3 linked regions of the Kluyveromyces lactis genome follow. The protein of the gene in region 1 purifies or fractionates together with the protein of each later gene. This does not show direct contact. Links are inferred from orthologs where the notes say so. Each region holds a gene or a part of one and is shown in the gene's direction. Other genes may lie near its edges.

Region 1 (6,696 bases):
TGTTCCCAGAGGTGCTTACCAGTCTTTGCGTAATGTTGGCTTTAAACCAGAACAGATTGACGCCATAGCTGCTATTATGGCTTATTATGAAAGAGAAAGAGAAAAGTTTGATCCTCCTGTGAGGAAGCCAACTAATTTAAATAATCACTCTACAAATAGACCACCATCGTCAGCTTCCCATCTGGGCTCATCGATAGATGTGAATTCGCAAAATCAACTGGTTCCTGAACCTCAAGAACATATTCAAAGCTCCGTTGGCATGCTATTGGATTTTTTGCATGAAAAACCTGAGCCATCTCCTCAATCAAGTGTCCATAAACCTAATCCAAAAAGAGCCAAAAAAACTCCAGTGGAAAAAGAGTCTAGAGTTATTGATACATATATGAAAAACTCACCGAAAGTGCACCACGGCTCAATTTCTAACAACATAAAGAAAGAAAGCGAAGAGAATTCTGCAAAGCAAACACTGGATGATGGTATCAGTAAAACACCAAAATCAGTTGTCAGGAAACTAGAATCAGCTTCCTCTCTTAGGAAGGATGTAACGTCTGCTAAATTGAAGGAAGAGGTGAGACAATCGGAAGAACTTCTCAATGACAAGGAAAATGCTGCTAAGAGTCTCGATGAGAAGATAAACGAAAAAAAGCATAATACTGATTCTGATAAAAACAATTCCTCCAGTGATGGTGTAGAATCGTCGTCCACTTCCTCAACCCTTTCTTCAAGACCCAAACTGCCGAACTTGGATCAAACTAAAAAACTTAAAGAGAAAGAAATGGAAACTTGGGTCCAAGATCTTTCACAGTTAGCTTGTGACTTGAAGCAAAGAATCAATACCCTTGAAATGGAAAACAGACTTCTCAAAAATCTTGTCATTGAACGTGGAGATCTCAAGAATGTTGAGTCTTATGAACTATCCAAAAATAACTCCTCCGAAAGCACTAAAAAGGATACTGACAAGTAAGCTATGATTAATAATTAGTTGTAACCTCTAAGTCGGACATATTTACCTGATGATGCGTGTTCTCTAAAACGTAACGTAACTTTCATCCAAGTATAAGGCCAGAGATAAATTTTGTATTAATATATAGTTACATTCCTCGTAGAATCTAACCCTATGATAGAATCGCGATAAGAGTTATTAGAGTGATAACAACAATAGCTACTAGAAGTATTGTACCACATCTGTTCTTTTTCCTTTGATATTCATTTGCTTTGTGAAGTTCTTTGTTCGCCTTTTGCAAATTATTAGATAATCCTGTCACATTTTCGCCAATTGTGTCAACTTGTTCGCCCTGTTCCTGTACCAGACTTCCTAGTTGTTTGAAGATGGCATTGACCTCTTGCACAGCAGAGTGGATTTTTGATATGTCCTGGGATCTTTCATGTTGAATTATCGTGTGAAAATCTAACTCATCCTGATTCAACAAAGGCTCTTGCTGTTGGGTAGACAAAAGTAACGGAGTATCCTCTGAAGAATGATCCCTCCTCTCGATATCGTCTTGTATTGGCATGCTTTCATATTGCGATACGAGATGTTCCGATTCATTATCTTTACTCTCTTCGTCAGGTATGGGATTCTGTACTGCCCTATTCTCATAATCGGTCTTTACACTGTTATATTGTTTGCTTAACGCTTGAAAATCTCGAGCAAATTTATCTTGTGTATCTAGCGAAGTTAAGTCAGCCAGTTTTCGACTAATTTTCTGGATTTCGGGGATTACTCTATTTTTTATATCAACCCTCAATAGTTGTCCGTCCTTGCTTGTCCCTATTAGATGAGCTTTACGCTTGAGTAATTGAATATTCTGTTCTAGTGTTATCAACAAAGGCACCGCATCGTTTCCACTAGAATCTGCACGATTGTCCTCCTTTTTTGGAGTACTATTTTGATAAAAGGACATCAGATGTAACGCGATTATCTTTACGGGTCCTGCTATCAGCTGTTTCCTTAACAGTTATCCTTCCCTTCAGTTAATGATCACAAACCTCAATTTGAGCACTTTAAAATTGAGGACAGTCTTAAACCACAGGTCATGTGATCCATTTTTCTTTCCAAGCCAACGCCAATTGGTTCAACTAATGGAAATTCGTATCATAATATTGAGGAGCGCACACTCTCTAACACTTCAGCGGCTTCACCGTTTAACCACTCAAGTGTTGTCGGTATTCTACTGTCACTCAATCTTTCGCTCGCTTTTCTTCTCATGCACTCTCGCTTTGTCTCAGCGTTGGTGCCATTAAGTTCATAGATTTCGAACGCGTGCTTTGCAGATAGATACAACTTTAAAAAAAAAAAGAACGCGTAAAAGTAAGAACATCTTCATCATCTTCTTCTTGCAACTCAAACCAGGAAAGACAACAAAACTAAATTACTAGGGTAGTTCGTACTGCCACCCTACACTATTAAAACACTAGCTCGGGATGAGTAATGCGAACAAACTTGAACTGCTCAAAAAATTGCAGAAAGCTAGGAATAATAAATCGAATAGGGATGTGCTAGATGAACAACTGGAAGAAGAAAATGTGTATGACTTGATTGACGAGGATCAATATAGGAGTAAGAAAAGACAAGAGTTGTTAAGAGATGATTTTGTTGAAGATGATGATGGCAGTGGATATGTGGATCGTGGTGTAGATGAATGGGATCAAAGTCAGGAGTTCTACTCTGATGAAGACGATGGTGTTGATGCAAAGTCAGGCAAAAAGCGTAATAAGACCAGTAAGAATAACAAAGGTAAGGATACCATCAGCGATATCATAAAGCAACAAAATGTCAAGAGAAAAATGACAATGCCAACAGAAAAACCTAAGAAAGTGTCACTTGCTGAATTTGATGATATTTTGAGTGAATTTGACGCAGAGCCTCTGGTTAAGAAGCCGAAGCTAACGATATCCAGAAAACAACCTGCAAATACTACGCCTATGAACTATAAACACCCTCAGGTAGATACATCCCCACTTAAAGGTAAAGATGTTGTACCTTTTAAAGCTGATAGCGTTAATCCTATCGATTGTGATTCAATGGAAGAGGACCACGATATTGAATCATTATTAAACGATGTGGCTAGTTCTCCTTCAATGAGCAAGCAGAAGACATATCAAAGCGAAGATGACAGTGAAGATGACGAAGATGATATTCACTTTGGTAGAAAAAAATTCAAATCAATAGCTACTCAAAGGCAGATGAATATCAGCGCTCAAACAGCACCATTAACGTCTTCGCCAACATATGTCACTGCTCCTAACACCCCATTGTCAACTTCTACAGGGTCCACACAAGCAACAGAATCAATTTCCGGATCACTGAGACAAAGAATACCTAAAGAGGATGTAGTAGACGCTGAGACCGGTAGTTTTAACTTTTTTTGGACTGATTTTACCGAAGTCAACTCTTCTTTGATTCTCTTTGGTAAAGTTAAAACGAGAAAGAATCAAGTAGTCTCTGCAATGGCGCAAATCAATGGTTTCAATAGAGAGCTGTATTTTCTACCTAAGGAGGGTAAAACAGCGTCTGATGTCCACCAAGAAATTGTACCTCTATTATTGGATAAATATGGCTTACAATCACTTCGCGCTAAGCCTGAAACGAAAAAGTATGCCTTTGAACTTCCAGGAATACCACACGAAGCGGAGTATTTGAAGGTTTTGTTACCTTATGATACTCCTAAATGCAAGTCAATTACTATTCCCGCTGAACTTGAGGGAGATACATTCAGTCACGTCTTCGGTGGTAACCAAAACCTTTTTGAGAGTTTTGTTGTCCAAAGGAAAATCATGGGCCCTTGCTGGCTTAAGATATCAGATGGCGATTTTGATGCAGTTCAAGGCGCTTCGCATTGTGCTATTGAGGTTCAAATTGATTCACCTAATCATATCTCAGCAACGAATGAAAAATCATCTCCGAGCTTGAACTGTATATCATTGTCTATTCAGACCGTCATGAATGCAAAAGAAAACAAGCAGGAAATTGTTGCTATAAGTATGGCTGTCTTCAAAAATTTATCTCAAGATTCATCAATTCCACAAAATCTCAAACCAAATGAAATAGTGACACTAGTAAGGCCTCCACAAGGATCAACTTTTCCACCTCTTCTGGGACCTAAATCAAAGAAAGAATTATCCGGAAATGTGCGTCTCTTCAATAACGAAAAGACGTTATTAAACTGTTTCTGTGCTCTCTTGAAGGTAAATGATCCTGATGTTATAATAGGACATAGATTGGAAGGTGTCATCTTGGATGTTCTGGCACACAGAGCTTATGAGTTAAATATTCCTCAATTTAGTGTCTTTGGGAGAAGACTGCGGAAAGCATGGCCAGACAAGTTTGGAAAACATAATAATAGTATGACACAGTTCATAGTTAGGGATTTATTTGCAGGTAGGTTGTTATGTGACATTTCCAATGAAATGGGTCAGTCACTAACTCCAAAATGTCAAAATTGGGAACTAAACGAAATGTATCAAGTTTCCTGCGGTATTGAAAGAAAATCTCTCGAAATTAATTACCTAAACCCAATATATCAGGAAGATGAATCCCAGATGCTTCTAGCGCTAGGCGAAAACATCGAAAACTCCATTATAACAGCAGAAGTTGCATTCCGCATTCAAATTCTCTCTTTAACCAAACAACTGACTAATTTAGCAGGCAATGGATGGAGACAGACTTTGGGTGGTACAAGAGCTGGTAGAAATGAATATATTTTGCTTCATGAATTTAACAGAAATGATTACATTGTTCCTGATAAAGAAACAAGGCAAATGAAGCAAGACAGACAACAAAAGAATGAAGATCCTATGGAGCCACAAGTGTCCAGTAAAAAATCAAAATATCAGGGTGGGTTGGTCTTTGAACCAGAAAAAGGTTTGCATAAAAACTATATCTTGGTCATGGATTTCAATTCGTTGTACCCATCTATCATTCAAGAGTTTAATATTTGCTTCACTACTGTTGACAGGAATCCACAGGATAATGAAGAACTTCCAGATGTGCCTTCAAGAGAAAAATCACGAGGTGTACTGCCAAGATTATTGGCCAACCTGGTCCAAAGACGTAGAGAAGTGAAAAATCTAATGAAGACTGAAAATGACGCAAGTAAAAAAGCCCAATATGATATCAGGCAGCAAGCTTTGAAGCTTACGGCAAATTCTATGTATGGTTGTTTGGGTTATGTGAACAGTAGATTTTATGCTAAACCGTTAGCAATGTTAGTTACAAATAAGGGGAGAGAAATTCTCATGAACACAAGACAATTAGCGGAGAGTCTGGGTCTAACAGTTGTGTACGGTGATACCGATTCGGTCATGATCAGTACTGGCTGTGACAATTACATGGATGCAATCAAAATTGGTGAAAACTTTAAAAAGCTGGTGAATGAAAGATACAGTTTGCTTGAAATAGACATTGATAACATCTTCAAAAGGTTACTGTTGCATGCTAAGAAAAAGTATGCTGCATTGAATGTTACTTTTGACAAGCAAAACAATGAGAAAACTACTCTTGAAGTTAAGGGTTTAGATATGAAACGTCGTGAATTCTGTCCATTGTCAAAGGAAGTCTCAACTCGAGTGTTAAATATTCTTCTTTCTGATAAGGACTCGGAGAGTGCTTTACAGGAGATATACGCATATATGGAAGAAATACGTCAAAAAGTAGAGAACAACGAGATTAGAATGGACAAATACAAAATTAATACCAGGCTTTCTAAGGATCCTAAGTCATATCCTGGGGGTAAGAATATGCCAGCAGTTCAAGTTGCTTTAAGAATGAGAGAGGCAGGAAGGGTAGTTAAAGCTGGTTCTGTCATAACTTTTGTCATCACTAAAGGTAGCGATGATTCAGACCAGGATTCTGATCAGGCGAATGTGGCTGAGAGAGCTAGAGCATTAAACGAAGTAATGAATAAAAAAAACGGATTGAAACCAGATCCTGTGTATTATCTTGGAAAACAAATCTTTTCTCCAGTACAAAGATTGTTGGAAAGGATTGAGAGTTTTGACATAATTAGACTGAGTGAGGCGCTTGGTCTCGACAGTAGAAAATACATTAATCGCGGTGGAGCCAACGGAGAGCTAAATGGTAGGGGTATGGACACATTGCAACCATTGGAAACCACTATTTCAGATGAGGAGAGATTCAGAGACAGTGTTCCACTTGAGCTAACATGTCCGAATTGTGATACCAAATTTGTATACGGTGGTATTGTAGCATCCAAAGAGTATCGATTTGTCTACTCCGGTATCCAATGTTCCAACTGTAATCACATAATGACCCCAATACAAGTCACTTCACAATTAGAAAGAATCATAAGGGCCCATATTTCATTATATTATGCTGGATGGGTCGCTTGCGATGACAGTACATGTGGCAACATAACGAGGCAAATTTCTGTGTTCGGGAAAAGATGTCTGCTGGATGGATGTACCGGTGTCATGAGTTACAAGTATTCCGACAAACAACTTTACAATCAAATGCTGTACTTCCAATCTCTGTTTGATTTGCAGAAAAACAAGCTCCAAACACTGAAGCCACTTTACCACTCTGGTGATAGTAACGCACCAGAAAAATCACTGTCTCACTCGGAAGTCCAAGCACTTGCTGAACAGAATAGGCTACTCTTTGAAGTTTCAAAGCAAGTAGTTGAAAAATACCTTAGCGATTGTGGTCGGGCATACGTCAATATGGGAAGTATTTTC
Region 2 (3,466 bases), on another chromosome or scaffold:
AGATCATGGTTCCACTCGGTAGTATTGGTATGCAGTACAAATACTAATGCCAGTAATTGTTTTAGGAAGCTTTCGCTCTTTGACTGTCCGATCATGTCTTGTATTTGCTGAGTTATGGAATTTTCGATCTTGATTGTATCTTTTGCCACAATATTAAGCACCAAACCCAGTTGAAGAATTACAATGTCGTCAGTATCCTGCTCTGATTCTATCTTTTCTCTCACTTTAATGATGTATGAGAGACAAGCACGTACAATTTTTACCTTTTCCAATGGAGAAAGTAGACTCAGAAAAAATGCATGGTTAGTCAATTTTACCATAATTTTGATAGTGCAGATATCCTCAATATATGAGGATAAATAATATAACATCTTTGGGTATAAATTTGTCATCATCTCTTCTGTAATAAATTTATCTAAATGCTGTTCAACCAGAACAAATAACCTTGGCGTAGGATTATTCAATGACTCGATCAATTTACTGAATTCATTACTGTTTGGGTCTAGGTGAAACTCCCATAGTGTAAATGTGAGATCTTGGGGATTTGTTTCAGCCCGCTGAACAAAATCCGTGTAGTTTAATTTCGTAATCTTTGAACCCTCAATAAGTTTTGGATTTTCTGTAAGAGAGGAACAAGTCATTAGGAGAGGTGATAACTGTTGCCATTGAGGGGCACTTCGCGGCAGTGGTACTAAATTAGCAATCCAAAGTTGTAAATAACTCATGACATTGTTCTCAGGGTTAATTTGCTGCAAAAACCAGTTCCATACTTCATTGCTTTTATACTTTTGAGTATAACTTGTCAACTCTGTATTGTTGAGTAATAGTAAACAACAGCTAATCAGTTTTACGACAAATAACTTTTCATCACTAGTAGTGAATGGTAAGAAATCCAGATCATCTTCGAACTTAAGCCCTTCTCCGAGTGTTTTTAATTGATTAACGTGAATGACGGAATTGGAATCATTAAAAGAAGTATTGTGATGTTGAGCATCCAAAATACCTTCATTATTTTCATCATCCTCATCGACATTTGATGCTTCTTCTTGTAGCTCTTCATCACTTTGAAACTCTTTTTTCAATAATGTACGTGTTCTTCCGTATCTCACCTGGCTCACTGCTGAAGTGGAGACCACTTTAAGACATTGAATTTGGCTATAAGTCGATATTACATCGTCGGAGTCTTTCAATGACGAAATCATCGAGGAGATACTGTCAATTGTACTTTGAAACTCATGAATCTCAGAATCATTATCAACAGCTTCTTCAACATCTTTCATATCGTCATTGTCGACTGTTATTCGTTTATGAAGCCTTGTCACTTTACGTTTCTTCTTCATAGATGTCGACCCCATACCATCCAAAATATCGAATGGATCAGCTTCAATTGTCTTTGAATCACGGTTTTCAAATGACTCGTATTTATGAGAGGAAGACACATACTCTTCTCTGACAGGAGCCATGGGAGAAGTCTCATAAGTTCTATCTAAATCTGTTGATAAACTTGTTTCTTCCTCGTCAGTTGAAGTGAAATTGTCCTCATCGCTTAACTCATTGTCTTTTTTATTCAAATGTCGCCTCGCCAAGGCTTGAAATTTCCCATAGTGACCATAAACTCTCGTCTTCATTTATCAGAACCTCCCAATGGGCTTTGTTGGTTTGCTTCCCCTTGTTTTCTTTGTTGTAATTTGTTCGCGTCTAAACAGTATCGTTTCACGTTAAAGTCCTTAAATTTTACGTGTTTTCCTCAAAGCGATTTCAATCTAGAGAAGAGAAAAGCTATGAACAACTTTTACAGAGATAACACAGAGGGAAAAGAACGTGCTAAAAGACCTGGAACTGGATTCAAGTCATTGGTTTTGATTATCATTGCCATAGTACCGAAAATGTACGGAGATCTCGCTAACAAGTTGATACTAGAAGCAAAGAGAACGCAACAGTTATCTCAAGCTGGATTCAACAAACAGCAATTACCAGTATATCAAGACGAGCTAGTCCGTGGCATCCTGAAAGAGGTTGGATCCCTCAAGAAGAACGTGGATTACCTACGAGAACAGCAGCTTACTGATCAGGATAACAAAGTCGCTCAATGCCAGTACGTCGTTGCTATGCTTTCGATGGAAAGAAACAAAAGATGTCTATTAGCATACCAAAAGATGAGAAGTGAGATGCTAGACTCAATGGTTTGGGATAACAACGGGATGGAATTTTCTTCTGCCATATCAAACCACCCGAATCTATCATCGTTTGATTCCTCTGTTTTATCACATGCAGAACAAGAGTATCTCAAAGAGTATGCACAACTACTTACCGAATTGAAATCGGGAGAACTCTCAGAAATCGATTTGACTGGGATGTTACAACCGCCGAGCGATGTGTTCATCGACGTACGAGTATTGAAAGATGCAGGACAAATAGAAACAGAGTACGGTGTATTCAACCTGATTAAAGATTCCCAATTTTTCGTCAGACAATCCGACGTCGAAAGACTTATACAACAAGGATATCTGCAGAAGATATAGCAAGGCAGCTTTTTTCGCCGAATTCTGCACCTTTCATTGCAATTCTGTAGATATCATTGCTGGTGATATTGCTGATGCAACCGTTCCAAATGCAACTAACTAGCTTTACCTCACTTTCACTATGGGGAATGCACGATTTCTTTTTGGATTTCTTTTTCTTGCAGCTCATCGCCTTCAAAAATTTTTCAGTTTTGTATTTAAGGCAACGAGGCATAAGTAACAGAACAGTACTTGATCTGGAACCAACTTGTTAGAACGGTTATTGGTTTGATTGCATTGAGTATAGTGTACAGCTTATTGGGATATAATATTTGTCACCATACATATACCAAGACTTGTGTTTCATCTTTAGTCTAATTGTTGAGCATATCTTTCCTAATTGTAAAGCTAATAAAATAAAGGATGTCCAAGACTGATGTCACTGATTCTGCTACGCAGAAAAAAGAATTGAACGAGTATGAACAACACTATTTCACCTCTTATGACCATTTCGGTATTCATGAAGAGATGTTGCAAGATACTGTGCGTACGCTTTCGTACCGTAACGCTATAGCCCAAAATAAGGACTTCTTTAAAGGTAAGGTTGTCCTAGATGTTGGATGCGGTACTGGTATTCTATCTATGTTTGCTGCAAAGAACGGTGCTAAGCATGTCATTGGTGTTGATATGTCTAGTATTATTGAAATGGCTAAGCAAATTGTTGAATTGAATGGTCTTTCAGACAAGATCACTTTGTTACGTGGTAAATTGGAAGACGTTGTGTTGCCTTATAAGAAGGTTGATATCATTATTTCCGAATGGATGGGTTACTTCTTATTATACGAATCCATGTTGGATACCGTGTTGTATGCACGTGATAACTACTTGGTCGAAGGTGGGTTGATCTTCCCTGACAAGTGTTCCATTCACATTGCTGGTCTTGAAGATTCTAAGTATAAGGGCGA
Region 3 (4,858 bases), on another chromosome or scaffold:
TACTTACAATGTCGAAGCGATCTCATAGAAATCAGCTGCAATACAAACATGCGTTGCCTATAGAGGCGCAGCCTGTACCGTCTGTATGGAAACATCCCTTTCAGGCATTTTCCTGGATATTAGATTGGGCGATGAGATGGAGTGAAACCAGAATTATTGACGTCAAGATCAACCAATTAGGTCAAATTTTGGTATGTGATCAATGGCAGATGAAGTATTTATGGGAACACGGATTCTTTGGTACTGGTCAACTATCTCGGAGTGAACCCAACTGGCAGGCAAGAACAATGTCTCGATTGCAACTAAATGATGCTGATCGAATCAACTTAGAGCATGTTACAGACGTTAGAAGAAGGCAGCGGCTCGAATTCAAGAAACTGAGAGCTGAATTTGAAGCCAAGAAGTTAGAAATGAGACAAAAGGGGATTGTAGACGAACAATTCATTGAACAAGAAAGGTTATTCTTAAAGAATCAAAGAGATAAAGAATTAGCTTTTGAAAAGGACTCGATGCAAATACGTGACGAAGATTTAAGATTAATAGAAGGCAAATCAGTGATTCAACTAGAAAGCTTGCAATTGATGCCCGTCGAGGCTATTTTCCTCTCTTATGCAGTGCCGGTATTGAAGATCACATTGCAACAATTAATGGTTTCGTTGGTACTGGAACCGAAAAGTTTCCAAGACATCAAGAAATTAATTCATCAATATGTCGCGTACCATCATTACAGGTCCAAAGGGTGGTGTGTACGATCGGGGATAAAATTTGGTTGCGAATACTTATTATACAGAAGAGGACCCCCTTTCCAACATGCGGAGTATGGAATCATGGTTTTGGATGCAAACCAGTCAAATGATTACACTTGGTATTCAAGCGCTGCCAGAGTCGTGGGCGGAGCCAAGAAACAGTTTGTATTATGCTACGTTGAACAACTCATACCTGAAGATGACTTAATGGAACTTTGGAAGCAATCAAAGTACGATGAGCTTTTCAGAAACTTTAAAATCCATGAATTGTTATACAAAAGATGGGTTGCAGGTAAGAACAGAGATTAACTGTTCCGAACCGGTAACGATCTTTTCCGCGAAGAACTCAAACGAGTAAAAATAAACCCATGCTAGTTAATTGCATTAAATACAGTAATGGTCTGTATTATATGTCTCTATATATATTATCAGTTTATGTTTGTAATAGTATTATGGCCGATACAGAAAGAAAGATCTCTCATTCTAAATCTTGCCGTCATATACATCCAAGATCCATCCACAATCTCTGAATCCCTCAGTACGTTGAGCTGGTCCCATTACTGGATCATCATAAATCTCTACCAGTGTTGGATCATGTGTTGCTGGCTTTGAGATGCAAATTACCTGACCGTTGGGTAGATTGCATTTCAATTGTGAATTAGGGAACGGACACGCACAATCCGACTTCTGTCTCACACAATCCAATGTCTGTGGACATAAATAATGCGGACAGTCATTATCTAGGAACATTTGCTGGTAAGAGCCAACATCCCGCTGTTGCTGCTGTTGCTGCTGTTGCTGTCTATTCTGGTGACCTGAATCGAAAAAGAATCCAGACACAGCTTGTAAAAAGAATGCTGAACCAATTATTGTTCCCAGTAGTTTCATAGTAAGTTAAGATCTTCGTATTTCGTAATACTGCAATATGAAATATCAGATAGCAGTGTTTAGTACCTATAGTCTTGTAAATCTTGGCATCTCTTCGAATATTTCGAATATTTCGCATGTATGCCATTTATGACAAGTAATCGATTTTCCAAAAATCTTTAAACGTGTAAGTATTCCAAACCAATATTTTAAAGAAATTTATGTAAATACATGAGATGACTAGCTCACGAGGGAAAAGAGACTGCAAACAAAACCACTGCAGGCCATCAAAGTGCCAGGTAGAGGATGTATATTGGCATTGCTGAATTTGTGGGTGCTTATGATAAAATTCTTCACCGATGCAGTTCTCATTCTTCATGTCAGTTGGTGATTTTTGTTTCGTGTTTAAACATTGACGCGTTATGTGCATCGAAGATGCTATCCAGTCTATTCAAGAAGCAATTGGTACAATCACAGTTAGTTCCCGTGTTTGGTTATTCGGAATTGAAGGATCACTATCAGAGACTGGACGAAAATATCAATAGCGTTATATTTGTAGGTTGTGGAGGGATGGTAGATCTTGAATCTTTTTTAGAGATTGATCCACAAGAAAACACGCAGGGTCCATTAGATGAGATTCAATTAGATAAGACTGACGTTGTTCAGAAATTTAAGAAGGAGATATTTGTGCTTGATTGTCATAGACCGTGGAATTTGGATAATTTATTTGGTTCACAGTGCATAACCTGTTTCGATGATGGAACAGTCGAAGAGTCTTTGACAGAGCAAAAGAAAGCATACTACAAACTTATAGAGATAGAGAACGAACTTGGCGATGAATTGGACGATGACAGTGATAGCGAGGAAGAGGAAGATGACAGGGAAACGCAAAATGAGGATAAAGACGACGATGACGATGACGATGACGATGACGATGACGTAGTATTGGGTAAAAGGTCCAGCGATGAATTGAATCCAAAAAAATCACATAAACAACGAAAGCGAGAGTTTCACAACTTAGAAAAAGTGTTACAGGAGTACTATTCACAGGGATCAACGGTGCTGAACTCCCTTTCAGTTCAGATATATTCTCTTTTGTCTGGTATTGGTGAGACAAATCTAGATTATTTATGGTTATGCATTCTAGGAGTGTCCTCTTTGGATAATTCCTTCCCGTTGGTATACAATCGACTATTACCACTTCTGAAAGATGAAGTAAAAAGATTGACACCTAGTGAAAAAACTAAAACGCCAGATTCTTTGAATCTTGAGATTCGTCCCGATTACAGTTTATTCCTTCTGAGGCATACATCCTTATATGATAGTTTTTATTATTCTAACTACGTCAACGCCAAACTGTCACTGTGGAATGAAAATGGCAAGAAAAGACTGCATAAAATGTTTGCACGCATGGGTATTCCGCTGAGTGTTACACAGGAAAACTGGATATATATGGACAATAATTTCAAGAGAGATCTGGGCGTACTTTTCGATAAAAATCTCGATAGATACGGGTTACAAGATATTGTACGAGATGGGTTCTTGAGAACTTTCGGTTACCGAGGATCAATAAGTGCCAGTGAATTTGTCGAATCGATAACCGCTTTACTTGAAGTTGGCAATGCTTCAAACGCACTAGAAAATTTGACAACAGCTAATGTATCTCAAAAAGATGATACGAACCAAGGTGATGAAGAGAATAGGGAGTACGAAGAAGCTGAAGAGCAAAAAATTAACAGAATACTGAAGACAAGGCAAAAAAAATGGATTGCAAATTTTTGGTCAAGTTGGGATGTATTGGACAATAATATGGATATTTTATCTCAGGGGATTAAGCATGCAACATTTTTACAAAGAAGTGTATTTGAAACTGGAGTCGCTATTCTGGAGAAAAGATTAGTGAAACATTTAAGGATTTACAGGCTATGTGTTTTACAAGATGGACCAGATTTGCATTTATATAGAAATCCATTAACGTTATTGAGGCTGGGATCATGGCTCATTGAATACTATGCAGAAAATGACGAAAAACAGTTACTTCCACTGGTATTGGCAACTTTAGATGAGACTTCTGACACATATCTTTGTGCAGGGATTGCGCCAAGGTACCCAAGAGGGTTGGACATTTTACAACAACAACAGCAGAAAACTTTAAATAATTTCACAGTGGCATTTCAACAAATAGCAGCTGAGACAGGTGCCAAAGTAAGGATTGACAATTTCGAGACATCAATTATTGAAATCAGGAAAGACGATCTACAACCATTCCTTGAACGTTTGACATTAAGCGGATTGATTTAGCACGAAGACACAAACATATTAATTTAGGCATATCATGAGGTGAGCTTTCGGCTTTAAATCTAATATATATATATATATTATGTAACAATCTAATCAGATACCTCGAAATTGACACTACTATGGGATGTCCAAGCTGTTTGAAATCTGTTAGGTTTACCATTGATATCACGTGATCATTAAACCAATGCCACAAATGTCAGTCAAAGGTAAGCATTCTAAAATACCCACAATAATTTGTCATAATTATAGGCAAAATGTTGCCAAGAACCAGCCTTCAACCCCTCAACTGTAGCTGTTCAGGCTCTTAAGTTAATACATGGAGCACAACATAGATCTTCCGCGTCTGCCACCCTGGAAAAGCCCGCAGTTCCGCAGGATCAAACATGTCAAACACTCAACAGATGAGGATTTCAACGTTGGGATGGGCACATCGGCAAATGTATTCAGCGACTCTTCGCTCTACACTCCGTTGAATTACAAGAATGAACGCAATAGAAACAGGGATATGAATGGGAAACAAAGGGCACCAGGGATATCTGAAAACACTCTCAGTTTCAAATACGATCCGTCACCTTTCATACTCCATGATAATATACTAAACAAGACAAAAGTGGATCAATTGCAACAACAAGAGGTTGCCATGAGAAGACTTTTTGATAAAGATAGAGCAATACCTGAATCCAGGCTCAATGTACCGTATTACCAAACGCTATGGAGAGAACAGCTAGATTTAATGGATGATGACATGCCAGAAACAAGTCCGAAATTCGATTACTCGAACTCATCTCAAGATCTATACAAACAGCTCCGGCAGTTCCAAACAGCATTTGTCCAAAATGAGGCGTGGAAGTACGAGGAAAACACTGAATAGCTGGCTAGTAGTATTAACTCCTGTGACTATTTCATCCCTCACAGCTCACAAGATTATTCCACAGTGCGGAATA

The links. Proteins that work in one complex are often made in the same cells at the same time.
Region 2: the proteins of POL1 (region 1) and PSF1 purify together in Saccharomyces cerevisiae (affinity purification with western blotting; 4 studies listed by BioGRID). This does not show direct contact. The link is inferred for Kluyveromyces lactis from reciprocal best matches to the Saccharomyces cerevisiae genes POL1 and PSF1.
Region 3: the proteins of POL1 (region 1) and CDC45 purify together in Saccharomyces cerevisiae (affinity purification with western blotting, with the first as the bait; 5 studies listed by BioGRID). This does not show direct contact. The link is inferred for Kluyveromyces lactis from reciprocal best matches to the Saccharomyces cerevisiae genes POL1 and CDC45.

What each region holds. Positions count from the first base shown.
Region 1 is NC_006039.1:1,127,905-1,134,600, forward strand, and holds the start of POL1 (DNA-directed DNA polymerase alpha catalytic subunit POL1), read left to right. Parts: upstream 1-2,424; coding exon 2,425-6,696. Other genes in the region: MET4 (Met4p), read left to right, coding at 1-964; SNAP receptor VAM3, read right to left, coding at 1,116-1,904. UniProt on the Saccharomyces cerevisiae protein: Catalytic component of DNA polymerase alpha, which in complex with DNA primase (DNA polymerase alpha:primase) constitutes a replicative polymerase. POL1 has a role in promoting telomere replication during interaction with CDC13.
Region 2 is NC_006038.1:615,444-618,909, forward strand, and holds PSF1 (DNA replication protein PSF1), read left to right. Parts: upstream 1-1,886; coding exon 1,887-2,522; downstream 2,523-3,466. Other genes in the region: RAD61 (Rad61p), read right to left, coding at 1-1,628; protein-arginine omega-N methyltransferase HMT1, read left to right, coding at 2,925-3,466. UniProt on the Saccharomyces cerevisiae protein: Required for DNA replication. Functions as part of the GINS complex which plays an essential role in the initiation of DNA replication by binding to DNA replication origins and facilitating the assembly of the DNA replication machinery.
Region 3 is NC_006042.1:1,834,071-1,838,928, reverse strand, and holds CDC45 (DNA replication initiation factor CDC45), read left to right. Parts: upstream 1-1,919; coding exon 1,920-3,914; downstream 3,915-4,858. Other genes in the region: tRNA splicing endonuclease subunit SEN2, read left to right, coding at 1-1,055; LCL2 (Lcl2p), read right to left, coding at 1,230-1,634; KLLA0_F19800g (uncharacterized protein), read left to right, coding at 4,231-4,785. UniProt on the Saccharomyces cerevisiae protein: Required for initiation of chromosomal DNA replication. Acts at the origin of replication. Also has a role in minichromosome maintenance.